Linked DNA regions of Rhinolophus ferrumequinum. Each later gene encodes a partner of the first gene's protein in a complex. Links are inferred from orthologs where the notes say so. Each region holds a gene or a part of one and is shown in the gene's direction. Other genes may lie near its edges. The genes, in order: CNOT2, CNOT7, CNOT10 and CNOT8.

What was found.
Region 2: CNOT2 (region 1) and CNOT7 share a complex: the UniProt entries of both Homo sapiens proteins name them as parts of the CCR4-NOT complex. The link is inferred for Rhinolophus ferrumequinum from reciprocal best matches to the Homo sapiens genes CNOT2 and CNOT7.
Region 3: CNOT2 (region 1) and CNOT10 share a complex: the UniProt entries of both Homo sapiens proteins name them as parts of the CCR4-NOT complex. The link is inferred for Rhinolophus ferrumequinum from reciprocal best matches to the Homo sapiens genes CNOT2 and CNOT10.
Region 4: CNOT2 (region 1) and CNOT8 share a complex: the UniProt entries of both Homo sapiens proteins name them as parts of the CCR4-NOT complex. The link is inferred for Rhinolophus ferrumequinum from reciprocal best matches to the Homo sapiens genes CNOT2 and CNOT8.

The regions. Positions count from the first base shown.
Region 1 is NC_046293.1:66,019,812-66,027,745, forward strand, and holds the start of CNOT2 (CCR4-NOT transcription complex subunit 2), read left to right. Parts: upstream 1-4,927; 5' UTR 4,928-5,040; coding exon 5,041-5,045; intron 5,046-7,934. UniProt on the Homo sapiens protein: Component of the CCR4-NOT complex which is one of the major cellular mRNA deadenylases and is linked to various cellular processes including bulk mRNA degradation, miRNA-mediated repression, translational repression during translational initiation and general transcription regulation.
Region 2 is NC_046287.1:72,513,083-72,520,747, reverse strand, and holds the start of CNOT7 (CCR4-NOT transcription complex subunit 7), read left to right. Parts: upstream 1-4,657; 5' UTR 4,658-4,887; intron 4,888-6,368; 5' UTR 6,369-6,462; coding exon 6,463-6,579; intron 6,580-7,665. UniProt on the Homo sapiens protein: Has 3'-5' poly(A) exoribonuclease activity for synthetic poly(A) RNA substrate. Its function seems to be partially redundant with that of CNOT8.
Region 3 is NC_046300.1:18,102,059-18,109,781, reverse strand, and holds the start of CNOT10 (CCR4-NOT transcription complex subunit 10), read left to right. Parts: upstream 1-4,705; 5' UTR 4,706-4,973; coding exon 4,974-4,995; intron 4,996-7,723. UniProt on the Homo sapiens protein: Component of the CCR4-NOT complex which is one of the major cellular mRNA deadenylases and is linked to various cellular processes including bulk mRNA degradation, miRNA-mediated repression, translational repression during translational initiation and general transcription regulation.
Region 4 is NC_046307.1:25,681,570-25,688,495, forward strand, and holds the start of CNOT8 (CCR4-NOT transcription complex subunit 8), read left to right. Parts: upstream 1-3,909; 5' UTR 3,910-4,339; intron 4,340-5,574; coding exon of another isoform or gene 5,575-5,622; intron 5,623-6,926. UniProt on the Homo sapiens protein: Has 3'-5' poly(A) exoribonuclease activity for synthetic poly(A) RNA substrate. Its function seems to be partially redundant with that of CNOT7.

The DNA.
Region 1 (7,934 bases):
ATGAAAATTAAAAAACTGATATGGAAATAATGAAATAAAAATAATTGTAACAGTTACTTCTACAAGGTTGCATGAATTATCTTGTATTTATCCTGTTGGTCCTTTGTAAACTTGTAAATTTTTACTAAATTGGAATTATATTTTAAAACTTTCTTCACACTTAATATACCATATTGATAAAATTTTCTCCACATCATTTTTAAAGGCTAAATACTGTTCTATTGTATGGATGTAGCTTATTTAACCAATATTCTAGTAAACAATGCAGTAATGAACACTCTTGCAATAAAATTGTTATACATATTTTTATGACACATTTCTAGAAGAGGAATTGTCCTGTCAAATGCTCATGCTCAAGGTTTTTGATATACAGAGGGTGCCAAAAAAATGGATACACATTTTAAGAAAGGAAAAAACTATTAAAATTTTAATACTCAATATATACCGATAACAAAAGATGAATACAAGTCATGTGTATATGTATTTTTTGGCACCCCCGGTATATTGCCAAACCACACCTTAGAAACGTGCTAATTTATACTCAGTAGTATAAGCTGTTTCTCTGAACCCTTGCCAGTATTATCAAGACATAATCACTTGATAAAATAACACCTGAAGACCAAATTAATGTGTAACACGTTATGTCGCTCCTAAGTCAGACTTGCTATTAAACTTTTACAATATTACCATTCAAAGCTTAAGATTCTTACATATATTTTAGATGATAAATCTGAGATCCAGTATAATAAATCAGACTACTATTTAGTGGGAGTTTCTGCCCTAGATATTATATTGCAGCACTCTTTTTGATTTGCCGTTCTGTCTCACCAATTACTTTATCTTTTTTCTGTAATAACCTTGTAAGTTTCCCAGAAAAAGGTACATATCTTCATTATCAAGAGCTGCAAGCTAAGCATATTTATTCCATTAGTTTAGCACTATTTTTCCTAGCTGCTTCCTAACTTGGATTTTATACATTATGCGTTGAAGGAAAACTTTCAAGACATTTACTTAAAAAGTCTACCTAATCTTGGATAAGGATTTATTTCATTAGTTCAGTGGTTCATTTATTCAGTCTCACACATGTAACTACTTATCTAATGTGTACCGTGTGTGGATAAAGCAGTGAACAAAACAAACTTAGTCCCTACTCTCATGGAACTTACATTTTTTAGTAGGGTGAAGGGAAACATAATAAATAAAAATGACAAATTACAAATGCTATTAAGAAAACAGAGGGTCATGTGAGAGAGAATGAATGCAAAAAGGAGCTACTTTAGATAGGGTGGCCAAGTAAGGCATGTTAGAGATGATATCTGACTGAATTAAGACCTGAAGGATGAGAACGTTAGTCATACCGTGTTTCCCTGAAAATAAGACGGGGTCTTATATGTATTAATTTTTGCTCCAAAAGACGCCTTAGGGCTTGTGTTCAGGGGATGTCATCCTGAAAAATCATGCTAGGGCTTATTTTCCGGTTAGGTCTTATTTTCAGGGAAACAGAATATATAGTCATAGAGAAAGCATATCTCACAGAAAATAAAATAGCAAGTGCAAAGGCCCTGAGGTGGAGCATCATTAAGTTCAATTGAGAACAAGAGACCCTAAATAGTAGCTTTAATAAGATAGTTCACTTTTTCCTTACATCAAAATCTGAACGTAAGGAATGCAGGACTGGTACGGTACTCCACAAAGGTCTCAAGCCCCAGGTTTCCACCAGCTTACTTTTTGCCATCCCTAGTATGGGAGAACTTGCCCATGGCCCAAATTGGCAACTCTTCCAGGGTGTAGGATATAAAAGGAAAATGAAGTAAAAGCCTGAAGGTGTGCAACAGCTGTCTTTTAAGGATGGTTCTGGACGAGTGCCACATGGCGTATCTGCGGATATCCGATTGGCCGGAACTACCACAGGGATATATGGAGGCTGGAAAATATAGTCTTTATTCTGGACAGCCATGTGCCCCCGTCTATTACTATGAAAAAAACAAATTTTAGGAGACTACTAATAATAGTCTGTGCTACAGACTGGGAAAAGCTTGGTACAAGTCAGAAACAGAAAGGCAGGCTGGGTAATAATAAAATGAAGTTGGAGAGGTAGGCAGGAGGCAGATTATGCACTTTTAAAGGCTGTGGTTAAGAAAACTGGATATTATTCTAAGGGATGCTATTGGAGGGTTTTAAACAAGGGGGTGGCGTAGCCTTACAAACTTTTAAAAATGATTGCTCTGGCTGGTATGTAGAGAATGGTCTGAAAGGGCACAGGGAAAAGTGGAAGCAGAGCGATAGTGGATATTGCTGTGCAAGAGATAATGGTATCTTGGACAGCGTGGTGGCATCAGAGGTGATGAGAAGTGGCTGAGCTCAGAAAACACACAAGAGCTGATGGTACTGGATGAGGGGTTGGACCCAGAATGTGAGGAATCACAGAAGATTCCTAGTTTTATGCCTTAGCAAGTGAGCAAACTGTTGGTACTGTTTATGGGACGAGTTTGGATTCAAATGTTCTAGTGCAGTACCTGTTAAATTTGAGATACCTGTCCTTTTCATTCCTTACCATGGTAAGATTTTCAGTATTGTCTACAACTTTTAAGAAATGTGAGGCCCTCCTTTCCTATAACTAGTTATTTATAAACTCATTTTTCCCCTAATAAGGAATTTTTCTCTCTATTGAAATCAGTAATTTTTCTATGAGATGCATAAGGAATTTACCTTTCACACATTTCAAACAAACACAAAACACCTACAGGGTATGGACTGTTTTATCCACCAAAGTGAATAATAATTTTAAAAAAAACCTATCTACCAAACGGGCAAATTTGATCAATGTTAGCAATAAAAATGAACTTTTTCATGCAATAGGACAATTTTAAAAAATGTATCAGAGTGCTTACTATAAGTTCCTAACAAATGTTAGCTCATTGAGTACTTAGAAGCAACCTCTAAGGTAGGTATTAAACAAGCTTTACAAAATTTTAACAGATTGGACACCAGTGACAAAACAATTTAAAACTTGTTCTCCAACAAGACTTAAATTTATCCTAAACAGTGTTCTCAAGAAAGCAACAGTATCAGTATAAACCCTACACATTTACTGTGGAAATGTTTGTTGTCTTATTTCTTTCAGTAAGATGTCCAAGGTAACAAAACCTCCAATTAGACCTGTCCCCTTCTAGAAGTGATTTCTTCAATTTTACCTATGTTTATGTTATTAATTTAAAACTAGTGCTTTTTTGAGTAAATATAGGGATGTTAAGAATAAGGTACATCTTTTGGTCTTAACAAAGTCCTCTATGTGAGTCAAACTAATAAATGGGAAGTAATACTTGATGTTACTATATACATATCCACGTATCCCATTTTTATTATTCCATCTTATGATTCCAAATATTAATAGTTATACTTTCAAATTATTAACAGATTAAAAGGCTCAGCAATACACAGATATATGTATGACATAGAGGTGTAGTCAGTCTTTTAACACATGATCTTACATAGAAGAGAAAGCTTAGGAAGCAGAAAGGAACTACTGGGGGAAAGGGAGGAAAAAGGGAGGGAAGAATATAAAGAAGTGTTAGTCCTTGAATTTTCCTGAAGTAAAAAACACAGTGAAGCAGAATGTTTAATGAAATGAATAACCAGGCAAACATTTTCTACTGGCTACATCAGCACCATTTGGAGTTTAAATAAATTTACACAGAAACTACAAATTCAAAGTACCTTGTATTCTGTAAACATGAGTCACCTTTTATTTTATAGTATGCTTATTTTCTTCCTATTTATGACTGACAGATGCCCTTTGACCTTCAATGATAAAATTTTAAATTGGATTACAGTGAGTTTTGGGGGAGGAAAAGGTGATTTTACAGAAGGAACAAAGGAAGTAGAAATTTTATTTACTCCAAATGAATTGTACTTTACATTAACAAATTCTATCACCGAAAATAGAAAGAAACAGTTTTTACTTTATGAAACTACACAATCCCAAAACAGACATGCAGAAGCTCTTTTTAAGTCCAAAAATGCCGCGTAGTAACAAAAAGGGAAGAGTTTATTAATATACAAAAGAATAAAGAGAGCTTTATTGTTTCAAAGAAAGAAATTTAATTTCACTTTGAGAAACAATTACTTCTCTGGAAAGCAGAGACTTCTCATTCTCCTGAAGTTGCCACCACAAGCACCGTAATTTCCAACGGTCTTGTAGACAGCCCGGCCGGTCACTCGAGCCTACGTGGGGATCGGGGAGTGGGGGCGAGTTCAAGTGCCACAAATCTAACTGCTGGCGCAAGCTCACCCAGAAGGGCTTTAAAAACCTGCTCCCCAATATGCTCCCTCCCACCAAGTTAAAAAGGAAAAAGAAGGGTGGTGAATAGAAGCCACCAGTGGTTTCAGCAGGGGGAACTCACTTCTCAGGTGAAGGTGACGTGCTGCCGGTCCCTGGAAGTGCGTGCACGAGCACCGGAGGTTGCGGGGGCTGAGGGAGGAAAGGGGGAGAGCGATCAACTTGCTTCACGTGCTGGGAGGGAGCAAGGCCCCCGTTCCAGGCTGACGTGGGGGGAGGGCGGGGTGTCGGACACGAACACAAACACAAACACGCTCGGCATCCCCAGGGAGGGCGGACCCATGCCACCTCACCAGTCCCCGCCCCTGGACCCTGCGGCCCACCTCGCACCCAGTGCCCGTGCCCAGTGTGAAGCAACCCTGCCTCCGGGGAACTGTAGAGGCCGCAGAGGCCCCGCTCGTTATAACGGCCACGGAGAAGCTAGAAGCCTCCGGTGAGTTGGTGCGAGACAAGGTGGAGGCCGCAGAGGGGGAGGTGATGAAGTGAATCACCTCTCCCCACCTACAGCCTAACGCGCGGGAAGCGGTCTACCCACCCCCAACCCTAGCCCGTAGGCAGCCGCCGCTCCCACCTTCCGCCGCCGCCTTGAGGGAAGCCGGAACGACGGGGGTCACGGCGGGGGTCAGAGGGTAAAGGTCTTGCTCCCAGCAGCCTCTGCGGTGGATACGTCGCCATCTTGGATCCGCGGGACAAGAAAATTCATGCGGTGAGTTTTTGGCAAATTTTCGGAAGTCTGGCGGCGGGGCGCGCGGCGGGGGCGGCGGATTCGGGGCCCCCGCAAGGCAGGGGAATGCCTCGGGGCCGGTCCGGTCGCGCCTGGGGTCTGCGGGCAGCGTCCCGGCCCTCCGCTTCCCGTTGCTTTTGTCTCGGCTCCAATCGAGAGAGGGAGAGTGGAGCGGGCGGGGAGGGGGGGGTGGCGGCGGTGGAGGGAGGGAGGGGGTGTGTATGAGGAGGGTGGTGGACCGGACGTAAAGCGTCGCTGTACTCGGGTCGCTGCAGCGGCAGCTCTGGATCCTAGGCCCGGTCCCTTCGGCCGGCGCTGGGGCTTCCCCCAGACTCGGCTCCCACGGGCTCCCGCCGGCACGGAGGAGCCTCCGCCGCGCCGCTTCCTGGGGAAGAAGAGAAGGCGGCAGCGGCGGTGGCCAAGGAGCCCGGGCCCGCTTTAGACAGTACTGCCGCCTTCCCATCACCTGCCGCGGTCCCTGGCTGTTCACATACTCTCAGTACACAAACATCACCTGCAACTTGTGTGTATGTGTGTTTGTGTAAAAGATGGGGAACACTGGACTGGCTAACGGGCCTCAGGCGCCTCCAGGCCCTGGGATACCGAAGGCTTCGGATGGTGGAAGGAGTGCAACTGTGATGCTTCCTCCGCTACCGCACCCGGAGGGTGAAGCTTCCGTAGTGGTAGAGACAGTCCGGAGAGTCCTGGGCGGCGGAGGAACCCGAGACGCTTCTGTCTGTTAAGTTGCTAGCCCTAGGTTTCTACTTCCGCCGGGGCCTCTCCACCTTTTGCTGTCTTGAGTCTAACTTAAAAGTTTTACGGAAGAAAAGAGTGGTCTTAAAAGAGGCTCTCCTAGTTCTTAGTTGAGGCTCTGTGTCCGTGGAGGAGAGAAAACCTGTAACTCTTGGTGACTGAACCTTTTTGAATGCGAGTTGTAGTGTTTTTTTTTTTTTTTCAATAAAAGCATTTCCAAGGTTTTAGAATTTGCATTTATTCCAGGCCCTGTGAGTATGGTATTACCACCATAAAAGTCCTACGTGCGGGTACCACCCTCTCGGAAGGAACCCAAACATCAACTTCCTTTGAATCCTAGGAGATGCCTTCACTTTTCAGAAGACCGAATGCAACAGTTTTGTTTCATTTTCATAAAACTCTTGGCCACAGAATCCTACTCCTTTCTTAATCTTCGGGATGGTTTCTAATCAGTATAAAAACATTAAGTGTACACTGATACCAACTCTTAGATGATTTGCGAAATGTAGAAGGCACTGAATTAACAAAACCTGTAAAGGAGAGAGGCCATACTTGAATTTTGTTCAAAGTTGAACACATTTCCTGTCTTGCTTGATATTAGGGATTTCTAGACCTCTGGAATAAGGGCATCTTTTGATTTGAAAGGATCTACGTATTTACATACCAGGTTTATGTTGAATTTTTAGGTAATACTTGCTATAGTTGACAGTATTTTTTCCCAAACGTCAACGAACACATCTCTTTGGCAATTATGGAAGATAACCTTACCCTAGATGTAAAGGGATTATTAAGAAACACCGTGAGCTGAAATGGTTAAATGCCTGCTACATTCAAATGGTTAGATGTCTGCATTCTGATCTCTCTTCATTGAAATACTTCTTAATGGATCAAGATCGTTAGTAAGCTTTGTATGTTCAACTCAACAGTTTGTAATTTCGTAAAATGAAAGGAAAAATACAAAATGCAGGTAAAAAGGCAAAACTGTTCCATTTTGTAAGATCCTCATTTAATTTTAAAAGGTTAACTTTTCTCTCATCCTTTCCTGGGGGCTTGAATTGCAGTGACTTCTGTGAATACTTTGTATTTTAGACAGGAACTGAGAAACTTTCACATTTTTGCATCCTAATTGGTGCTGCTGCATCAATAAAAATATATTCACCTAAGCATCATTTGTTGGCAGAACCCTTTTATTCTAAGTATACTGGGTAAAGATATCTGTAACCTAATCTGATACTTTTGGGGAATGAAAAATGCCTGTATGTTTAACCAAACAAATACAACTTTTGAAAATTTTTCAGTTTCTGTAATACTTTTGTTTTAAAGTGAATTTATATGGTGGGAAAATGAGGGCAAAATGTATAAGTGATTTACATCCCCTTTTTTTGAAAAGTACTTGACCTTGATTAAACTCAGAATATGCCTCCCCAAGAGAACTAATTACCTTTGTTTTTACTTAGTAACTTTGGATGTTTAATTTACTTTTTGATTTTTGAGATACTTTACAGTTACAACCTTGTTTGTTTCAAAGTAAATAAATACATTCATGAGTAGATTTCATTAGAAGTTCTTTGAACACAGTTTTGGTTTTTCTCTCTTCATAGATACTGGTATTAAAAATACTTTTTAAAGAGCCTTACAGAATTTTTCACAACCTGTGGGAATTACAGTTTTACCCTCCTTAGTGACAAATTTGCTTCATAAGATTTTCTGATAATAAAGAAAAGGTATGCTTCATGTCTATGTATGAAATGAGCAGATATTAATAGAGTAGTAAAAAGAAGTTAGTTAACTATTTTTTGCTCTTTAAAAGCAATGTTCAACAGTATTTTTTGTCTTATTTTAACTGTAGAAAGTTCATTCTATTAGAATTATGTACAAGCAAACTTTTCCATGTGCTTGCTTGAATAGCCATTTGAGGACAACTTATGCAAATAGTGATAGTCTTAGAAGATACTACTAAGATTTTATTTGTTACCTAGACCTCGAGTGGCTTTTGTAACACAAAGAAGCAAAAGAAACCAAGGTACCTGGTAGGGCAGTTTTACAGGCAGAGTTAATCTGAGTTGCACTGTAATGTTTGAATAGAATTACATATAGTATTGATATCAAGGAACCTAG
Region 2 (7,665 bases), on another chromosome or scaffold:
TTAGAGCCAGAATTGAAATCCATGACAGTCTAATTACAAAGCTTTCATTCACTTAAGTCAGGCTGCTTTTCCCAACGTCAGTATTTTTGCTTACTTCTACTTATGTTGCTCAAATTCATTTTGTCTTTTATCAAGGAACCTGAGGAACCTACGGACTTTCACAGCCGGGCAGGGCATTAAGAATTCAGGTAGTCAATCTTCCCATCTCAGCAGACCTAAGGTTATGTGAACATCCAAGGTTCACTGCTAGTTAATGATATACGTCAGCATCGCCTGACTTCTGGTTCAGGGCTTCTTTCATTAAGACTATTAGTTATACCAGAGTAAATAAACAAAAGCAATTCTGATAAACTTTAACTCACAAATTAGATTTTCTTATTGAATATAAAATAAAATTAGCACCAGAATTACCATGTACTTGATTATTAAAATGAATGCAGAAATCCTTTACTTGAGAGAGCTAATCTCCCTAAGTAAAAGGTAATAAAGGATTATTTGTATAACTTTGAATTTACATAGTTAATTACAGATAATAAGTACCATTTACAACATAGCTCCAGGTTGTGGTTTTCCAACTAAGGAAATAAAATAGTAATAAAAATAAGCTAATTAACTTTAGATATTGTGAGAGAAGAAACCAGGACAGTTAGGATGGTAACTGTTAAAGACTATTAGTTTTTGATATTTCTTGATTGCAGGGGCAATGCAGGGAAATACTTAACAGCTTCACTTCTGAAGAATCTTTAAATATTGGGATTAGTGTCACCTGGGATATTTCCAGGTTGAAAATAGCTATTAGGTTGGTGCAAAAGTAATTGCAGTTTAAAAGGTTAATTGCAAAAACCGCAATTACTTTTGCACCAACCTAATAAAAAAGTGACGGTTTATTACATGTGCTGCCGAAGCGAGCGATGGTTTATTAAGCTTACACTGCAAGAAGCCCAGAGACAGGAAGGTCCCAGAATTGGTTAATTCAGCATCACAATATTAGCACAGGCATTCCATCTTTCTACTCTTCCACAGTCAATACAGTCAGCTTGTATTCCTTCCTGATCCAAGCAGTTCCAGATGTCCCAACATGACAACAATATCCAAAACATAAGAGAAACATCTTTTAGACATCTGTATTATTGAGAAAACATATTGAGCAGCTCCGCAGCAGACTTCGACTTCTCCTTCAACTCCCACTGACCAAGGTTAAGAGTCCTGCTTTCAAAGTAACACACACAGGGCATGAAACCACCATCACTGGCATAAACAATCATTTACCTTCTGCGGTTGAAAGAGCATAGCCTCCATTGAATAAGTATGTGGTCTTGCAGGCCCAGAACCCAGATAAAAACAAGTGTTCTTCAAGAAGTCAGGGGAAATGGATATGAATGGGAAGCTCCCTTCGAGTGAGCTTCTTTAGGAAGTAGTAGAAACAGAATTAAGTTCTACTCCTGCCCAGAAAGTCAGGAGTTTTAGGTGGTAAATTACATAGTATGATGACTGTTATTCAGAAAGCAGAATATATTACTAGAGCCTAATCTATATAACTTTCAATTTCCATTTTACAGCAAACGTGCTTTGGTTAAACACTTTTTTTTTTTTTTTTTTTTTGGTCATATGACAGTTTCCTATTTGCCCTGCCTCTCCAGTAAGACTTAGATGAGGAAATACACATAAAATTTAGCTAACCTTTAGAAGAGTCCTGAGGGAGATGAGGAAAAATTTTTTAAGGTAACAAAAAAAGGAGTTTACATTTAGTAGAGAAAGGGAATTAAACAAGCTCTTTCCCAAAGTGGAATTTTTTTCATTATAAGGAATTGAAAGATAAGACTTGGAAAATAGATGAGAGAGAATGGGGTGGGAAAAGGTTCTTGAGGGCAGGCAAAAAAAAAATGAGATACTTTCACTGGCAGAAAAGAGCTGTTGACCTTACCTTTGGAGCAGGGATAGATATGATAACTGAGGGAGGTGGGCTGCATAAACAGGATATTGATATTCATAATTTAGAAAGTTTTTGTAATATTCATGAAAATAAAATACCATTCAAAACATTCTTTCAACTTTTAGAGTGTACCTTCAGAATAAGCACACAGTGTCCTTCTATACAAAATTCTTTAAATATAAATTGTATACTGCACAGATTATTTTTACCAGCTAGCTTTAAAATGTATGTCATGAGTTAAAAGGGCAGATTTAACAAAATAGGTGGATATCATTTTTTCTGGAATAGTACCATTCCCTGAAAACTGGAGGTATATGACCTACTTACTTAATTATCTCCAGAATTCCAAGTTTAGTTTATAAATGTGTAACATTTCAATAAAATAAAAGTTCAACTATTTTCATAAAAGAACTTAAAGGAAGAAAGAGTCCTTAAAATTAGATGTTTATAACATTACAAAATATGTAGATAATGTCACATGATCAATTATATGTCCAAAATTTCTGGCTCAAGAAATAAAAGTGATCCTTTCTGCATTTGACTCAAGAGCAGTTCCTTTCTGCAAATGATCCTTTCTGCATTTGACTCAAGAGCTGATGCTCTTACCAATTCCAGAACTCCTTAGATTAGCAATTCCTGTTTTAGAATCTTATTTGGGAAGTCAAAAAAAAATACATAATACATTCCAAATTGATCACTTCTCCTATTTACCAGCCTTAGCAGCAAAGGACTTGAAATATTTCAAAAATTCCACTCCAACCTCAAAGAACAAAAATTTGCCAGCAGTGACAATATTTAACACAATATACTAAAGGCTTAAAAACAATTAATTCCAAAGGTGTGGTTCTAAGAAGTATTTTGGCAATAGTAGTATTAGTTTAGTAGATAGTCTTCTAAGGTGACACTTTTTAAGAGGACAAACTTTTGTTATGTTTGTTAAAAATGAAGCATCTCTTGTGAGAGTAGCTCTTACAGGTTAGTGCGGAACACTGTTTAGAAGACTTCTAAGAACTCTATGAACTCAATTTTCCAAATAGAAAGCCACCATTAGATCAAAGAGTATACCACTCCTTCCTGTTAAATACCACAAATTTTCATCTTTTGAAAGTTCTGAACAAGCAGAACAACTGAGGCTAAAAAAACCAAGAAACAGCCGAAGTTTAGACAGCAATAGGCCTTATTTTAGCGAAATTGATTTTGCAATGAATTTTTCTTTTAACTATCTAATTTAAAACTATTCTATACTATAACTTACTTGCTTGGGAAAATATTAATGTAACAGATAAAATGGCTCCTAATAGTTCAATACTTAGTCGATTTTATTAACTCAGGATATATATTTTTAAAATGTATGAATAGTTTATTTTAAAAAGGGTTATAGTTGAGCGACGTTAACATCTTTACATTAAAATACATGTTATGACACTATTAAGTACATATACTTGCATAATTCATATAATATAAAGAGGCAGTTCTAATTTTTGAAAACCATTAGAGGCCACAGATATGTGCAATATAAAAGGCGGCAGCCATACCAGATTACAATAAAAACAACTGAAATCACTTGAATTGCAAAATATTTCTAATCTGACCACGAAGAAAATGAAAAACTCATAAAAGACAACAGAGCAGTCAGGATGAATATAAGACAACTCCTGAGTGTGGAAACAGTGAGGAATGTACAGAGTGGTAGTTGCCAGATACAAGGACGTTGTTGGAACAGCGTGAATCTTAAATTAGAGACTTAAGAGGATTGAGTATGTTTCTCCCAGAGAACTCGCTGATAAAAACTTTGGCTTCCCTCTCCTTTGCTGTTGCAGTTTTTTTTTCCCAAAAATTTTCCACTCTTTGTGAAACGTGGATATTATTCGTCACAATTCTTTTTAGCCAAATAGATTATTTTAACAATTTGGCTAAAGCGGCAATCAGCAGGCGAAAGGAAAGATTAGTGAGGAAGAACCTGGAAAGGAATGTTGGATGTAAACCATAAAAGAGATTAGTCAGCAGCGATGTGTCAGGAGGAATGAACAAGTCAAAATTAGAAGAGCTGAGCAGTGTTGGAGCAAGAGGGAGGGACCTGGAGGGTCCAGAGGAAAAATCCTGAACATAGGTCTGAGATGGCAGAGCAAATGTGAGACCTAGTACGAAGGGAGGTGGATCAAAATGAGGCAGCTGCTGGAGAGTCGGCCTGAGAAACTGTGAGTGTGATTAGGACCAGCCCGCCCTCCTGCCCTACTTTTTCCTCCTGTCCGAGAGGCAGCGACCAGTCACCTGGAGTGTGAGTTCCGGAGGGACTCGATCAGGCGCTGCTTCTGCTGTTGGAGGCTGGTGAGGCCACCGGGGGAGCCAGCTGCGGAGGAGGAGGCGCTCTTGGTCAGCGGGAAGAGCCAGCTCATCCTCCACGGGTCCCCGGGCCCGAGGCCCTAGACTGTTCTGGCCTGCTTCTCCCAGCTACTCAGCCCGGTGGTTCTCCAGCGACAGAAGACCAAGGCGCCGGAGGCCGGGGCTCCAGTGCTGGGCGGCCGCGTCTTCTCTAAGCAAGCCCGGCTGGGGGTCCTCGGGTTTTGGGGGGTATGCTATGACTACAGGTAACTGGAGAGAGGAAACTTGCCGCCCGGAACAGGCAGCCCTACCTTGGCGGCCCTGACGCCAAACCAGCCAGTCAGGCAGCTTCACAGCCCAGAGCTTTAACCACCCCAGCCTCCGTCACCTGCGTGCCCCGCCCCCTCTGCGTGTCGCGTCATCATCTAGCGCCCCCGCCAGGACGTTACGAGAAGCGACGGCGCAGCACGGTGCGGAGCAGCTCCGGCTCCCCTTTCCCCCTTGCCGGGCGAGCGGTGTCTATGGGGCATCCGCTGCCGCCGCCGCCGCCGCCGCTACCGCCACCGCCACCGCCGCTGGGTGCTGTCTCTATGGCGAGGAGGAGGAGGAGGAGCGCGAGCTCAGTGACACAAGTAGATCTTGCGTCTGCCGCAGACCTGCGGGGGGAGGGGCGGTTTGGGGAAGTAAAAAGGGGGTGGGGACGATGAACCTGAGAGGGTGCGCGATGGCGCCAGCTGGAGCTTGGCTGGCGAAGGACTGAGTTGGACGGCGGGCCGAGGCGGGGGAGGGTAACTGGGGCTGGGGTATGTCAAGGAGTTGGCGCGGAGTGATGACGTAAAGGCTTTGTACCTGGAGCTTCGATATTGTGGGATGGAAATTGGGGGTGGAGGGCGGTGGCCTTCATGCACAGCTAGCTCCACGTATTCCTTCGCGCACCAGTGCTTGGGAATCAGTCTGGCCCCAATGAATCCTTATCAGCACCTTCGCGCTGGCTCTGTGCCAGGGAAGGGAGTTAACTGACTTGAATGCTTCTATACTGTCCTCTCTCGTTTCTTTGGGAGCCTGCAGTACGGAGACTTTACCTACAGTAATGAGAAGGTTTCTGGTGCCTCATCGGAGCTTCTGGAACCGTGGTAGAGAGAGATGAAGTAAAGCAATGTTAAACAATAGGGTCTTTCCAAAGTGTGTGTGTGTGTGTGTTTCTTTCCAATGTGTGTGTGTGTGTGTTTAGCGTAGTGGACAGGGTTATAAAAGGGAACTCCCCTGGCTCTTAGAGCACTCGGTTACATTTGTTACTGCAGCGTTTAGAAGGGGGAGTAGTGTAATTCCCTCTTTTACCTTTGTTAAAATTTTTTCAAACTCCTTGTTTGAAGAATTTCCTTGCTCAAGAATCAAAATGTTGGTCTGTACTCTTATCATCATATACTATGCGACCAGTATTTATGGGCCAGAGAGTTGAGATTTATGTTTGGTAACCAGGGAAAATGCTCTTGAGTTTTAGGAAATTAGAAACAGTTTGAAATATGGACACACTATTTTCTCCTTTCTCTCTCCTGCAGTTATGAACATTCAGTCTCTGTGGCTATCTGTTACAGCTTTTTGTTGGTTTACTTTTGTCCCCTCCAATCTGGCTTGAATAAATGCCAGTAAAGGAGATTTTGTAATCAAAACAGATTTTGAATGTTTTGTTAATGAGGAATAAAAGCAGACATTATCTCTGTCCTAGTAGCATCTGATAGTCTCACATGTATATCAGTATTTCACCTTTCATATTTTGTCTGGAAATGGATGTCTTTACAAAGTTTTATTCAGAGAGTCAGTTGAAGTCACAGCAGTCTGTAATTATTGGAAAGTTTTAAGAAATGATTAGTATGTATACATAAAAAATACTATTTTTACGTAACATTGGTATTAGAACCAGGAAACTTGTGTTGTGGTCCTTTTTTTCCTACTGATTAGATGTGTGACTTTAGAAAGGTCACTTCCCAAACTTTGATTTTCTTATGAATCAAAGACTTTGAATAAATAATCTTTTAGGTTTCTGTCAACTCAATTATTCCATAATTTCATTTTCTGATACAGCTGGGTTTTATTTTGGTTTTTATTATGACAGGTACACAAATAAAGGATAAAGTATTTTATGAAACAAATCTTCAATCAAATATAATATTTTGATGCTTGGCAGCTAGACTTCTTGTGCCCTCACTATGCCAGCAGCAACTGTAGATCATAGCCAAAGAATTTGTGAAGTTTGGGCTTGCAACCTGGATGAAGAGATGAAGAAAATACGTCAAGTTATCCGAAAATACAATTACGTTGCTATGGTATGCCTGTGATCAAATATCCTTAAAATACTTCTTATAAAAGGGGAAGAAGGATTTTTAAAGTCTTGAATTCGGCCCTTCTGGTTGATTTTTTTTTTCCCATGGATTTTATTATGAAAATTGTCAGTATCCTCCAACCAAAGACCACCTGGATCACACCTGTAATGTGACAAGTTGGGTTGATTTACTCACTGCGTGAGGGAAAACGCATACCTTTGGAGGATCTGGGGGCATTTGAATAAGACTGTGTTAAAAAGGACTTTTGTGTCAGGTGGTTTTAGGGAGGGATGAAGGAAGCCAGACTTTGCTCTGGATTGGATAGTGTCATAAAGCTGGGTAATTATATGATAGGGTATCTTAAGTCTTAACTACATTGAGAGAAGATGAGAGTGAAGCTAAAGCTATAAAGAAGCAACAGTTATGTTTTTGTTATTTTAGTTATGGTAATAGAGTGGCCTTGTCTGGTGTTGAAGTGTGAAATTGTTTATATTGGACAGAAGAACATTAGGACCTAGCTATGAGTGCCAGGTCAGCACCTAGCAACACTAAGGCCTAACTGATAGTACCAGATGAGCTCCTGTAAGCTAGGGAACTCTTGGATGTCTTTCTCAAATAAAAAAAAATCAGCTTCCCAGTGAAACATTGTTGATCTGCAGTTTTTTGTTTGGTTTTTTAATTTATTTTAGTTATCAGTGGAGTTTCATGAACACACTGCTTTTGCATATACTATTCAATCTGCCTGGACTGTCTACTCAGTTAATTATTTTGCTTCTTTACTACTGTATCTCATACATCTGTTATAGCCACTCTACCATTTTCTAGATAATCAGCTTTGTGAAGCAAAGGGTTAGTATCTTAATCATCCTTTGTCCTTCTGACATCTAGCATAACATATTAGCATCCAATAAAGTCGTTGAGTTGGACTGAATTTAGAGAAGTTTCCATTTTTTTACTCTTTATGATAACTTGGTATTTAGATTTTGTTCTTAGCTTCCTGATGTATCCTTTTCCCAGTATTTTTAATATAAATAAATATGCTCTGTGGGAAGGGGAAGGTTGATTGGTTGAAATACGAATATTTAAGTG
Region 3 (7,723 bases), on another chromosome or scaffold:
TTAACAAACAAGGCATTCAAAGCAGCCATTTGTTTTGTGTCTCAGCCTGTAGACAGTGATGCTATTGGCTAGAAATGTCTGGGAGCACTCACCATTTTCCTCAGTTTTGAGGCTGGCCCAGCCCAGTGGTGGTTATGATGTCAACAGGCCTCTCAGCAGCAACCATCAGGAAATTTTGAAATAAAAAGGTTTATGACTCATTAGTCCTGGAGAGTACTCAGCACACCTAGGGGCCACATACAAGGTCACAGTAGAGACAGAGAGCATGGACTAGGGGTTCTGCCTTTATGGGGGTTGGGGATGAGGTGCCTAGAGTTTTGTGGGTTCATTCTTTATTGGTGAGTTTAAAACATAAGAATGGGAATTAAAGTGTGAAGAGGAAAACAGGGTCACTCCAATACTAGCAAACTGAATTCAGCAACATATAAAAATTATGCACCATGGCCAAATGAGATTTACCCTAGGAATACAAGGTAGGTTTAACATCTGAAAGGCAATTCTTGTAATAGTATAATATATCATATCAATAAAATGAGAAACAAGAACCACATAATCATTTCAACAGACACAGAAAAGCATTTGGCAAAATCCAACACCTTGTCATGAAAAATACACTCAACAAACTAGGAATAGAAGGGAATTCCTTAACCTAATAAAGCACCTACAAAAAATCCCAAAACTAACAAAATATTTAAATGTAAAAGACTGGACGCTTTCCCCCTAAGATTTTTATTAGTTTCAGGTGCACAAAACAATGTAATAGAGATTTCACCCCTTCCCCAATCTATTGCCCCACTGAAGGATGTCCCCTCTTTCTATTTCTATTCAAAAATGTACTGAAAGTCCTAGCAGGGAAATTAGGCAAGGAAAAAAAAGGCATCCAGATTGGAAAGGAAGAAGTAAAACTCTCTCTATTTGCAGATGATATGATCTAGTATATAGAAAGTCCTAAGGAATTAACTGAAAAACTGTAAGACCTAGTAAACAGGTTCATCAAGGTTGCAGGATACAAGATCAGTATACAAAAATCACTTACGTTACTATCTACTTATAATGAACAATCTGAACTGACATCTGCTGACACATGCTACAACATAGATGAATCTTGAAAATATGCTAAGTGGAAAAAGCCAGTCACAAAAGGTACACATTGTATGGTAATTCTCTTTATATGAGATATACAGAATATTTAAATTCTCAAATGGTCAATTTGAGACAGAAAGCAGATTATTGATTGCCAGGGGCTGGGGGTTAGGAAGAATGGTAAATGACTAGTAATGGATACAGGGTTTCTTTTGAGTGTGATGAAAATGTTCTGGAATTAGTGGTGATGGTTGCACAACTTTGTGAATCTACTAAAACACCCCAAACTATACTCTTCAAATAGGTGAATTGTATGGTATGTGTGAATTATATGTCAATGTAGCTATTTTTTTTAAAAGGATGAGCAAGGATGAGCAAAGAAGCTGGTGAACATGAGAATATGTCTAAAACACATATACAACAACAACAGCTAAATTAGGGGATGAAAAGCATCATAGAATTAATATAATTATTGGGGTTGTGTGCTCACACACAGAATAATTTTAATTTCAAAAAGATGAAGAACTGCAGTTGATGAAAACATATTGAATATATAAAAAGCCATAAGTTCAGAGTAATTTTTTGAAAAGGAAATAGTTCTGGAGATTGCTGGAACATCAAACTTATTCCTCTGAAAACTGATAATTATAGGGAGAGGACTAAACATTCATCCTGCCTTTCTGTAAACTAAATTTCAGTGTAACCAAATATCCCTGTGGATAAGGAAAAGTTTTTCAGTACAGAAGAATTCTAGGTAGGGCTGGGAGTAGGGTAAACTGAGTGGGTGCCTAGAGAATGAAATTTAAGAAGGCACTCACATAGCCCTGATTCTAGTTAACAAATGCATGAATATCCAAATGAGAAAATTATTTCAACCATTAGTGAAATAACTGGTTCAGACAGTGGCCATTAATGCTTCTAAAACCACTAGGAGAAAGGCTGATAGAAAACGGATAAAAATCAGGCTGTCACTATCTGAATCCAAGGATCAATGTTAACGTCACAAAAAGTGAGACAACCAACCTTCTGTGCCTTCTAATGGGGTTGCAGAACGTACACCTAGGAAGAAAGCACCACCTAGGAAGAATTCTCAGGAAAAAATTTTTTGACTCATAACATAATCAAGCCTTTAGAAGTAACCTGTAGTCCACAGGAAATATTGAGCATAAAGGATGCAGTCACAAGGAAGCGATATGCCAGGGATCTTATACTGGATTCTAATTTCATCAGTAAGTCAATGTAGGGAATAATAAAAGGGGAGCGAACTGTTCTAGATTAAGAGAAACACAAGTAAAATGATCTTGCTTGATCCTGATTCTAAACAGAAATTACCCCCCAAAAAAAATTTACACTGTAGAGGTAATTTCAGTATGGTTTGGTGATTGAATGATATTAAAGAAATATTTTGAATTTTGTTAGATGTGATAATGGTATTGTAAGAAAATACTTGGATATTGCTTTTTGAGTTGCATGTCGAAGTGTTTAGAGGTGAATGATATGCTATCTGGGATTTGCTTTAAAACACTCCAGCAACAAAACATAATAAGGAGGACGGGGTAGATAAAACATGTATATGGTTAAATGATGCTAGGGAATGAACACATGGGATTTATTATACTTTCCACTTTTGAGTATGTTTGGAAGGTTTCACAATAATATTTTCCCAAAAAAATATGGGTACACCTTTATTCCAGAGAAACTCTTTTAACTGTTCACAGGTTTAAGAGTGAGCTCAGCAGCTGTGTTTGTAAAATGAAAATTGGAATTGACGTCAATGTTTGTCAATAAAAGAAGAGATAAATAGAGGTAATGTGACGAGGTTGTCTGTCAGCAGCCTTTCCCAGTTCCTCCCGTTTAATAAAATTCTGATTATATTTATTCCTCGCAGGAATGTTTTGTGGATGCATCATGATAAAGCCAAAACATGCATCGGAATCTCTTTTTGCCAGTAATTGCCTCGTGGTGGGCAGGCAACCAATTTCACGGATGAGATCTTAGGGGACATTTTGGTGAGAGGCGTCTAGGAAAGATTCACCATACTTCTTTGATTCTAAGACACAATATTTCTGTCATCTCTAAAATTGGCAGGCTTCTCACAACTGATAGCATCTCACAATCACTGTCTGACAGATGGCTGTTGTGTGTTATGTTTGTCATTCCCTGTGTATGCACGAGTTTGATCTGAAAACCTACCATTTGTGACATCTTCTGGTAAGATCTAGAAAGTGCCAGAATTAAAACCTGCAGAATGGGCCTTCTTGAGACAACACTATGTGAGGAGATGCTGTAGTGCCAGTGGTACTGAAGTCTCAAATGATATAGGCATTAATTATCTCACTGATGAGAAATCTGCAGGTAAGCTCTTCCATTGCTGAATCAGTGACTCAGCAATGCCAGGATGCAGTTCGACATTCCTGGGATTCTTTCTGTTTTCCCCAGTGGGCCCAAGATAATTGCCACAGCTCTGAGCATCATGCTCTCGCCTCACCATTTTCAAAGCAGGAAGGGGGAGAAGGGGGCAAAGATGACGGCTCTGTGACAATGTGGACAGGCCTTGAGAGTATTATGCTAAGTGAAATACTCATATGTCAGACAGAGAAAGACAAATACTGTATGATCTCTTATATGTGGAATCTTAGGGGGAAAAAAGAGCTTATAGATACAGGGAACATATTGGTGGTTGCCAGAAGCAGGAGAGGGGGTGAGGAGCACAATGGGAGCAGGTGGTCAAAAGATACAAACTTCCAGTTATAAAATAAATAAGTCATGGGGATGTAATACAGAGCATGGTGACTAGTAGTACTCTACTGCATATTTGAAAGTTGCTGAGAAAGTAAATCATAAAAGTTCTCATCACAAGAAAAAAAATATTTGGAACTATGTATGGTGATAGACATTGTGGTGATCATTTTGCAATAAATACAAGTATTGAATCATTATCTTGTACACCTGAAACTGATATAATGTTGTATGTCAATTGTACCTCAATAAAAAAAATTAGACAAATTAAAAGAAAAAAAGAATAGCCTAAGAAGACATGACGCATTCAATATAATGTGGTATCCCATTCCTGGAACAGAAAAGGAACATTGTTCAGAAAATGGAGAAGTCCCCCCGTAATAGTAATAGTACGGATCAAGGTGGTTTTTTGGATGTGACGGATGTACCATAGTAATTTAGTAACTAAGATGTTCACAACAGGGCAGACTAGATGGGGAGTATACAGGAATTATGTATCATCTTTGCAACTCTGTAAATCTAAAACTATTCTAAAATAAAACGTTTTGTTTTTAAGCGGGAACCGCAACAGTGCTTTCTCACAGAGTTGTGAGAAATCAATGAGAGACTAAAGCCAAGTGCAAGGTTCAATGCTTAGCACATAAATGTCAGGTGTGGTTATTGTGATTTTATGTAAAATAAGGAACAATTGCTTGGACACTTAAATATTTTAGTCCGGATAAGCAAAAGGCAGTGGCACGCAGGCCCCTCCCACCCTACCCAGCACATACCCAGAGGCGCAAGCGCGCGCGCACGCGCACATGCGCAGTGGGTGGGGTCGGGAGGACGCCAGCGTGGGGCGGAGCCAGCCACAGTTCCCACGCCGGCCGCGGCCCCCGGAAGTAGTGTGTACCGTGACTCGGGGTGGAGACTGTAGAAGGCGGGATGCAGTGGCGAAACCTTGGTGGAGACGGTGCTGCAGTTGCTAGACGACGTGAACCAGCCTTCGTCACTTCCTCAGCCCTCGGTCTGCCCACTCCGCTGGCCGGAACCCAGGGGCCTGGAGCAGGGGTGGGCAGAGTCGTCCTCAGAGGTCCAGGATAGCAGCCAGCCGGGCAGCTGGAGTCGAGGCCACGCCACCTGCGGGGAAGAACTCAAGCCGAGGCGGGAAGATGGCTGCAGACAAGCCTTCAGGTAAGGCGCCCGCGCCCCTCTCGCTGAGACGGCGGGACACGCGAGGGTGGGCCAGCCCTGCGCGCGGAGGCGGCGGGGCCCGGAGTGAGGACTAGGGGTAGAGGACTCGAGGGCGACTTTAATTTGGGCGTGCATTTCTCTCCCCTCTCTGGTCCCAAGGCCGTCGCTGAGGTCTGATAGCTTTTTTACCCAAGTGCAGCTACTGACCGCTTTTGCCCAGTTTCCCAGACTATCGCTGGCTGAAAAAGCTTGCATTTATTTGGCCGCTTCACAGACTTTTTCGATTTCCTAATGGGGATGGCAAAGCAAGGAAAGTTCACCCTGGAGCAAGCACACAGCTGCTCAGGCTAAGACTCACCTGGGCTGTTTTGGCCTCATCAACCTGCCTCTGGTCAGGTACATGCTATGTATAAGCTTCGTGTAAACCACTTATTTAAATAGACATGAAGTCATAGTGTGTGGCTCTGGTCTGTGCTCTCTAACATCCTGCGTTTAGAACCTGTTTTCCCTAGTTCCTCATGACTAGCTAATTTGATCTCATTGATTTTGTTTATGGATTACTGCCCTATTCCTAGAATCTTTTTCATTAAGGAATATAAAATTATTTCCAGCCTACCTCTGGGACGGTGTGGTGTATGTTTCCTAAAAGAAATTAATGTTCTCTGTGGCATCCACAAAGTTGGAAGTGGTCAACACTTAGACTTTACAGTGAAATTACTAAAAAAAAAAGGAAAAAAAAACTCAGTGTGCTGTAGGTTGTCCTAGGTCCGGATCTTAGTAACTGACAGATAAACTTGAGTTGATATTTTAGTGAGTCCATCCTAATACAAGTACAGATGAATAAAATTGGTAGAGAATCTCTTCAGTAATCAGCTGAAAAGAAAAAAAACAACAGAAAAAAGGTTTAGAAAGTTGAGGCTAATGGAGTGTGTTACAGAAGTTTAGATAGGCCGGTCAGGGAAAGCCTCTGGTGAGGTGACATTTGAGCAAACAGCTGAATGAAATGAGGAGTAAACCATAGGGAATGGGGGGGTAGGGAAAACGCTTCAGGGAATAAGCCTGACCTGCCCAAGGCTGGACCAGGGGAACCAACATCTTCATTCTTAATGAAGACAGTGTCTCTCTTCACCAGATTTGCCATTCCATACCTACTTGCCTATACCATTGCACTTGCCTGGAATGACCTTTTTAGGCCTAAAGCCCATCTAATTTTCAAGTCCTTCCTCAGTCATAAAGCGCTCTTGTACTTGTTCATTCATTCATTCGCAAAGATTGAGTGCCATGTGTTGCCTTAGATGTTGAAGAAATGAATATGACATACTCCCTGCCCTTGAGGACCTACTGTTCAGTCTGCCAGAGACACATCTAATGACACTCCCATTCAGTACAAGCTATGTAATATATCTAGGAGAAGAATAAAGTCCACAGTGACTTGTGGGCTGTTTTTTTTTTTTTAAAGATTTTATTGGGGAAGGGGAACAGGACTTTACTGGGGAACAGTGTGTACTTCCAGGCCTTTTTTCCAAGTCAAGTTGTCGTCCTTTCAATCTTAGTTGTGGAGGGTGCTGTTCAGCTTCAAGTTGTTGTCCTTTCGATCTTAGTTGTGGAGGGCGCAGCTCAGCTCCAGGTCCAGTTGCCGTTGCTAGTTGCAGGGGGCTCAGCCCACCATCCCTTGAGGGAATCGAGGAATCGAACTGGCAACCTTGTGGTTGAGAGGACGCGCTCCAATCAACTGAGCCATCTGGGAGGCAGCTCAGCTCAAGGTGCCGTGTTCAGTCCTAGTAGTAGGGGGCAGAGCCCACCATCCCTTGCGGGACTCGAGGAATTCAACTGGCAACCTTGTGGTTGAGAACCCACGGGCCTATGTGGGAATCGAACCGGCAGCCTTCGGAGTTAGGAGCGGGGAGCTCTAACCGCCTGAGCCACCGGGCCGGCCTGCGGGCTGTTTCTTTGGTTGGTTTAAGTTTATAGGCCATATTTTAGGAAACTTCCTATCTTGATAATAAGGTTGAATTCTGTGTTAAGTGGGTGAGAGTTTAGTGTGGCTCTCTTGAATCTCTCTGCTCCTCTCCATCCCCATTTCAATTGTACTAGGTCTGGCCTTTATCTCTCATTGTGATCAATTTCACATTAAGCAGCCTCTTGACTGATGTTTGTCTCTTCCTGTCCAATCCATTCTTCTTACTGCTGCCTTTTCATTTTATTTCTGAAACACTAATTGGATCATACCATTACCCTGCCTATAAACTTTCTAAGACCTTACCATCTTTTGTGCATCAAAACCTTACTCCTTAATGTCATTTGTGAGGCTCTTCACAGTCTATTTCCAGCTGAAGTTTTTATATCAACACATCTAGCTCTTCACGCCACAAATGACTCTCTTGGAAAGCATTGTGTTCCTTTGAGCTTCTGGGTAGTAATGCCCTTTTTCCTCTTCTGTGTCTGAACACTCTCCTCATTCAAAATCTAGTTTATATGCTCCTTCATCTCTGCGCTCCTGGGCCCAGGGCCCTTTTCATAGAGGGTCTTATGTGTTTGTTTTTCATTAGGTAGAAAAAAAAAGCCCATGAAAGAGTTTAGGAAGGTAAGTGACCTGACCACGCTGGCTATGGTAGAGGGTGAGTTGAAGTGAAACAAGACTGGAAACCCAGACACTAGCTAAGACTAGCTAATGTTGTCATATTTATATATTCAGTAAATATTCACCAATGGCCTGCCCTGCCAGGCA
Region 4 (6,926 bases), on another chromosome or scaffold:
AAACTAAGTACGATTGGTTGAATTGAGTAACTGGGAAGGAGGACCTGCTTGGAAAACAACCACCACTCACACATTCAGAATCCGTACTGTCCATCTGGTATAGGGAGTCCACCATTGTTTCCACAGCTATCTCCGTCACTCATGACAGCTGTCACCATGGTTTCAGCATCCGGCCATTGCTGTCCCTGCTCCCATGCCTGAGGGTGGAGCTGCCTGACATCTTCGGGACTCAGCCCACTGCCAGGCTGAGCCGATCATTTCTGTTCCTAAAATGCTGACCAGAGTGCTGGGGGGTAGCCAGGCAGCGACAGCGTGGGTCCACAACAGTGGTCTTGGCTGGTTGGCTCTGAGATTTGGGCCCAATTACTTCCTCCCTAACCTTCTAAAGCAGGGGAGCCTTGTACACCATAACTTGGCTCACCCTGGCCATAGTCTCAGGGGCCAGTGATGAGAATTTTGAGTGTGGCTTTAGTTCCTGCTTTCTGGGCTTTGACCAGGAGTTGCTGCAGCAACTTACCGGTTCATTCTTGCCAACCTGAATTCGGTAGCGGGCGATGAAGTTGGGTTTCCCAGTTGTGTCAACCACCAGTAGAAGCCCATTTAAGCCCCAGAAGCACAAACTGGGCACCTGGGTGGCAGCTAAAGTTGGAAAGCAGAAGAAGGTTGGTTGTTTAATCGGGGTGACTTCAGGTTCTCACAGCACATGGATTAACTGGACACACACTTGATGGTAACTGAGGCGGCACTGGGGACAGTCCCTTGCCACGGAGGTCTTGGTGCACAGGGCCAGGGGATCTACTTTTAGTCTTAGATGACAAACTAGCTGGGGGAACTTGAACAGTCACGTAAGGAGTGTCTCTACTTATTTTCTTAGTTGTAAAAGGGGGACAAGAATATTCTAGATGGTTGGAGACCCCCAAAAAGTATATGCTCTAAAATAGAAACGAATTTAGGTTGACAATTGGAAGTCCGTACCCACTGAATCCTTTATGAATTTCCATGGAAGGGAGAAGCAAAGGAAGTGCTTTGTATGTTATGGTTCACAGTGAGCCCTGAACTAGGAGTCAGTCAGGGAACCTACTGCCTGTCATCCTCCTAACTGAGCAGTGTGACTTCAGGTGTCCAGTCAGCATTTCCCAAAGCAGGAAACTCTCTCTCAAGGGGCTTCTTGGTTAAACAGCTTTTCTACCATACTGTCTTGCAGAGTCATGGTCGGGACTAGTGTGTTAACAGCTCTGAGAATTCCTGCAGCAAAGAAACTGTTTGACTTTGTTAAACTCAACCTTTCCCAGGCTTTTTTTTTTTTTTTTTGTAACCCCAGAACTCTTTTCTCAGAATACCTAATAGGATGGCCATGCATCTCTGTTTGCCCAGGACTATGTCGATTGACATCTGTCTTTCCAGTATAATTATTAACACCTCATTTACTCTCACAAATGTCCCTATTTGGATAATGTATTATATGGTCATCCCACAGCACTGTGTTCTGCAGGATGTATTAGCAAATACCGATCAAGACTTGACATTTAGAGAGCTTTTTGCCTCACATCCCATCTTCCCATGAAGTCATTCCAAGTATCGCTGATGTCCTACTGTGAACAAACAAGCACTTTGTCCACCCCAACTGGCAGTTAATCAAGTGACATCGCAATGTTACGTAACTCTTGTACTATTAACTTTCTTTGTCCATGTTTTCCCTCCTCTTAATTCATTATCCAAGGGACAAGGACATTTGACTTAACTCTGTGTCTCTGTGTCCCTCCTCCATCACCACACTGCCTTGTGGCAGTTGATTCCTGAAAAATACTTGGCCAGCACTGTGGGGAAATATGATTGGCACAAATATCCCAGAGGATACTAGTAGGAAATGAACTAAATAGATGAGAGTAATTACATACATTGGAATGGACTGGGCAGCTTAAAATGTTACGTAAATCTATATTAACTGACATGGAAAAGTGTCCACAATATATTTAACGAAAAAAAAAGTTTTAAAAAATTTGGTGTCTTATAAGTTCAACCATATATCCAGTTTAAGATCTGTATTAATATATTAACAGTGCTTACTTCTTGGATGGGAGAGAAGGGGTGCTTTTTCAGCTTTATGCTTATTTGAATTTTCTGGTTTTTATTTTAACAGTGAGCACGCATTTACTTTTATGTTCAGACATAACACACTTTAAATTGTTAGGTTTGTGGTTGCCTACTAGGAAATCCAAGGGTTCCTTGAGGAACACAAAATGCAAACCACAAAAAATGGTCTTGAACTTTCTTCAAGCTCTAACACTTAAAATTGCAAATACTTTTCTCTCTCTGATATTTTCTTATCACCTTGGTGACAGATAGTTTTCCCATCACTGTAACAGGAGTATATAGAATGTTTTCCTGCCACTTTCCCTATATACATTTGCAATCGGCATTATTCTTTTCAATGGCTACTTAAGATTGCATGGAACCTATTTATATTTAATTTTCAGAGTTGTCCTTCCAGCTGAAAACAATCGTCAGGGACATTTTATTTGTACTTTTGCTTTGTGACAACTGACCCTTTTTTATCTCCCCCTTTAGATTGTGACGTGGTTTTTTGATGGGATAGACTAACACTTTATCTTAAACATCTCTCTATCCTCGGTACAAATTTGGCACAGAGTAACATTAATAAATATCATTTGAATGAATAAATGTATGATTGAGGACAGTCAATATTGTAGATAATGCTGTTATAAATATGTTGAAATGGCTTTTGCTTCCACTATGTTTTCTTAGGCTTGTTTCAAGCCATTCATGCTGTCAGTAAATACTGAGTGACCACTTGCTGTCCAGCCTCCAAAGCTAGATGGCACCAGGTAGAAGGACACAGCCTCGCATGACATACAAGGGCTCTCTGCGCTTGTGGACCTGACATCTAGAAGCAGCATTACTGCTTGAAACATGCCTTTATTTTCACACAAACTATTTCTTGTTTTCATTTTTCTACTTTTGGGGAGAGGGCGATCTCCATTTCTCAACTTCTTTTCTTGGATAGCCTTGGACGTCTGTTCTAGATTGCCCACAAGCTTAGCAGTTTGGGGGTTACACTGTCTTAAACTTTAAATCCTTATTCCTTGTAATAATGAGCTGAGAGTCCCAAGGTAGAGAACAATAGAAAAAGAGTTAAACTATGATCACGTACGCAAACCCTAAGCCCTGGTGGTCTGGGAGGCTCACCTATTATGAAAAGGATCCACTCCTTTCCTTCAAATGTAGACAGCAACCTCTCCCACTCAGCTTGCCAGAAGTGGCCAGAAGCACCCCAAAATCTCTGAAGATGCCTTGAAAGGAAAATCAATCAGGTTTCTGGGTGAAGATTGATGGGCGGACAGCCCCTTACTTCACGCTTTGCCCCCAGACCACCACCACACTGTCCCCAGGTGCTGAATTCAAGCTGGTGGAGCAGACTCACCATGTGACTGAGTTCCAGAAGGCCACAAGCAAGAGAAGGCCAGAGCCCAGGATGAAAGCAGTCTTCCTCATGGAGCCCCAGATATGTCCCTCCTGGGGAGGATAAGAAAGTGTCAGGTCCCAGCTAGCCTCCTGCCTTCACTCACAGCTCACAGCTGAGGCCTGACAGGTGTGACAAGCAGTCAGGACCTCAAGCACGCGAGCATTGCACGTCAGTGACCTTTTCCCAGTTTCTGTGGGAGGCTCGTCCTTATCACGAGCTCTAGGGCTGTACATGGGTGTGTTTATGAAAACGAGAGGTCAAGGTTGGGAGAGGGAAAGGAACCAACCTGGCTCCAGAGACACTGGCAGGTAAGTCTGTCGCCCAGCCTTCCATCAGCTGTCTTCTTGTTGAACTGAGATGCCCAATTATGTACACATTGCAATCACCTGGGAGCTTTTTAAAAATCCAGGAGTCCAGGTCCCTCCCCAGCCCAAGGACATAGAGTGTTTGGGGTGGAGCCTGGGCCTCCAGGTTTTTAAAAGCACCCCAGCTAATTCCAATGGGCAGGCAAGGCTGAGACAGCCATCACAGAGAACCTGCAGAATCCGTCATGAGGACAGAGGGACTTCATTGTATTCAGGAGCCTGGCCTGTTTTCCCATCCCTATCACCCTCTTGCCCGTGAAGAAAAGAGTGAATGAACACACATGTTCTGCCTCTTAATGATCCCTCTGCCTTCCAGCGAGATCAGCCAACTGGACAGGACGATGAGCGGTTCTAAGGGCAAAGAACAGACCACTGGCAGTCGCTGGGAGGTCCTTCTCTGTTCTCCTCCAAGAGCCTAAAGTAGAGGTTATTGCAAGTGTGGTGCTCAAACGAGCTCCCAGACTTGGAGAAGGAAAACACTGGCCTCCAGGTGAGTCACGGGTTTCCCTGTGCCGTGGACAGGAACTACAAATGGCCCTCCCATCCTGTTTCTAAGCCCAGAGGAAGCCGTCCTGCTCAGGCTCTTCCATGGGACAGAACTGGAGGTGGCGGTGCTTATAGCTCTGTGCTGGGCTGACGTGTATTTAGGGAGCTGGGCCACTTACGAGGGGTCGGGGTGGTGTCGGGGTGGTGTCGAGGGGAGCTGATCAAACAGCACAGACACTACGTTTTAACCCAGACGTTTGAGATCTGAAGGAGCAGATTGTGTTGACTGACCCATTCAGAGCAGCCTGAATCTGCACTGAGTCATTTCTTCTTGGCCTGGCCTGTTCTACTCTTGATCAAAAGACCAAAAAGAAGGAGGTCATCTTCCATGGCCTGTGGAAAGTTTTTAAAGGGCTGGTGTTCATCTGGGTCTTGAGATCTAGAAATGAGCTTCTCTCTCCCTTGTCCCTCACCTTCTCCCTCTCCCTCCTCCCCGCTTCTTCCCTCCCTCTCCCTCAGGGCTGGATCCACAGGCCGATAGGAACTTGTTCTCTTACACAGGCCATTCAAAGGTCACCACCCCAAGCTTGTCAGGCAGGTTACCTTGGGCTTTTGAAATTATTCCTTTTCTTGGATTCAGAGGACCCTTTTCATGAACTTTTCCAAACTCACTAGGAAGTTTTCATTTGAGTTTAATCACATCAAGCTAAGTCAAGTTGAAATCCTCAATTTCACATACAGGATTAGATTTTTTTCAGGGATTATGGTGTTTTCTCTCCCTCCAGCACCCCAAGTGAAAGGACTATACACAGGACAAAGACCTCTGTGAAGTGCGGGAGCTCACAATGCAGAAGGCAGCTGAGCTGAGATCAAGAGTTGGTTCCCAGCCCCCAGTGGGCTTCTCTTGTCCCCAGGGCAGTGCTAGAAAGGTGTGGCTCCAAAGGCCCAAGGCATGGGACATTCTAAGGGCCAAGAGACCGTGGCAGGACAGCTATTGGGTTTTGCCACTACCCTCATGCAGGGCTGCTCCGTGGTGCAGAAAAAGGGGCTTTGGTTATAAAGCAGGTTGGGGTCAAGTGGTCTCAGCTCAGCTACTGAAATGAGCAAATCACCAAAGTGTCAGCTACCCCTAAACCCTGGGGGAGATGTCAGATGTGCAGCAAATGCAGCAAGCGCACACATGGAAAGAGTCACTGGCTAAATTCTCACCAGTTTGGTGGGTGGGGTGCTGGCATTTACCTGCTTAGGCTTCTCATCATGTAGCTTACTTCCAGCTTCTCCCTTCATCTGGAAAAAGAAAGCACAGTTGAGTCTGGATGTCATTTTTACACGCAACCAAGGGAATAGGAAAGTCAAGGGGAATGGCTAGCTGTGATTTTTAAAGCTGGCTACTCATTAAAACCACCTGGGCCCCACCTCCAGCGACTGAATTGCTCTGGGCATCGCTACTCTGAATCGGGGTTGGCAAGGGGACTTTGCCTGGAACTGGCTTTCTCAGGTATGGTCTGTGACAAATCTATTTTTTTTTTTTTAATAGCTTCACTCTGCCCCAGAACGACCTGTCTCATTCAGAAGAAATCTCTGTCCCCGGACCCCCCACTCTTCCCTAACTGCCAATAACCCGTGGCCCCAAGAAACCAGGACAGAAGCCAGGGCTCTGCCCCCTACCTACTTAGACAGCTTCCTTAACCTCTGTGAAGTCAGGTTACCACACATGGCCTGGATCTGTCATGCCGATTGAAATCGAAGCATTTTGCAAGCTGTTCAATGTGATTCAAACAACAGGTATATTTACAGGTAGAAATCATTAAGACAGGGAGCCTCAAAATCTGATACCTTTCTCAAGGCCATCTCTCCGTCGTGTCTGTCACTTACCGGTTTTGTGACCCAGGACTTTTTCAGTCTCTTCTTTATCACATTTCTTGGTATTCTTTTTAAGTGTTTTTGCAACAAACTTAAAGTGTTTCTACATATTTGAAATAACGCATGACTTTTCTGGGAAGGTGACAGCCTGCGACAGTGGCTGGGTTTGGTGGGCGGGCACTTGAGTTGCTGGACAGTTGACTTTATTGAGTATCCCACTACATATTTTATTACAAATCTTTAATAATTAAAAGTGTGTGGCTAGCCCATGAATAGGCAGACATATATTACAGATTAGAAAGTCCAGACATACACCTAAAAATATATATGGGAATTTAGTATATGATAAAGAGAAATCAATATAAATGGACTTTCAATTGAACAGATGTTGAACCTCCTCCATAAAGAGAAATGTGAATTAAAACTACAATAAAATATTACTTCTCATCCATGAGCATGGCAAACATCCAAAATTTTGACCACGTGCCCTGCTAGTGAAGCTAAGGGGACTTATTTGTATTTGTTCTTACACTTTTTACAAATAATCTGTATTGATACATAATTCACATGCCATACAACATATCCATTTAAAAGTGTACATTTACATGGCTTTTAGTATATTTACAGAGTTATGCACTCATCACAATTGATTTTAGAATATTTTCATCACCCAAGAGAGAAACCTGCACCCCCTCAGCCGCCATTTCCCATCCTCCTTTCCTCCCACC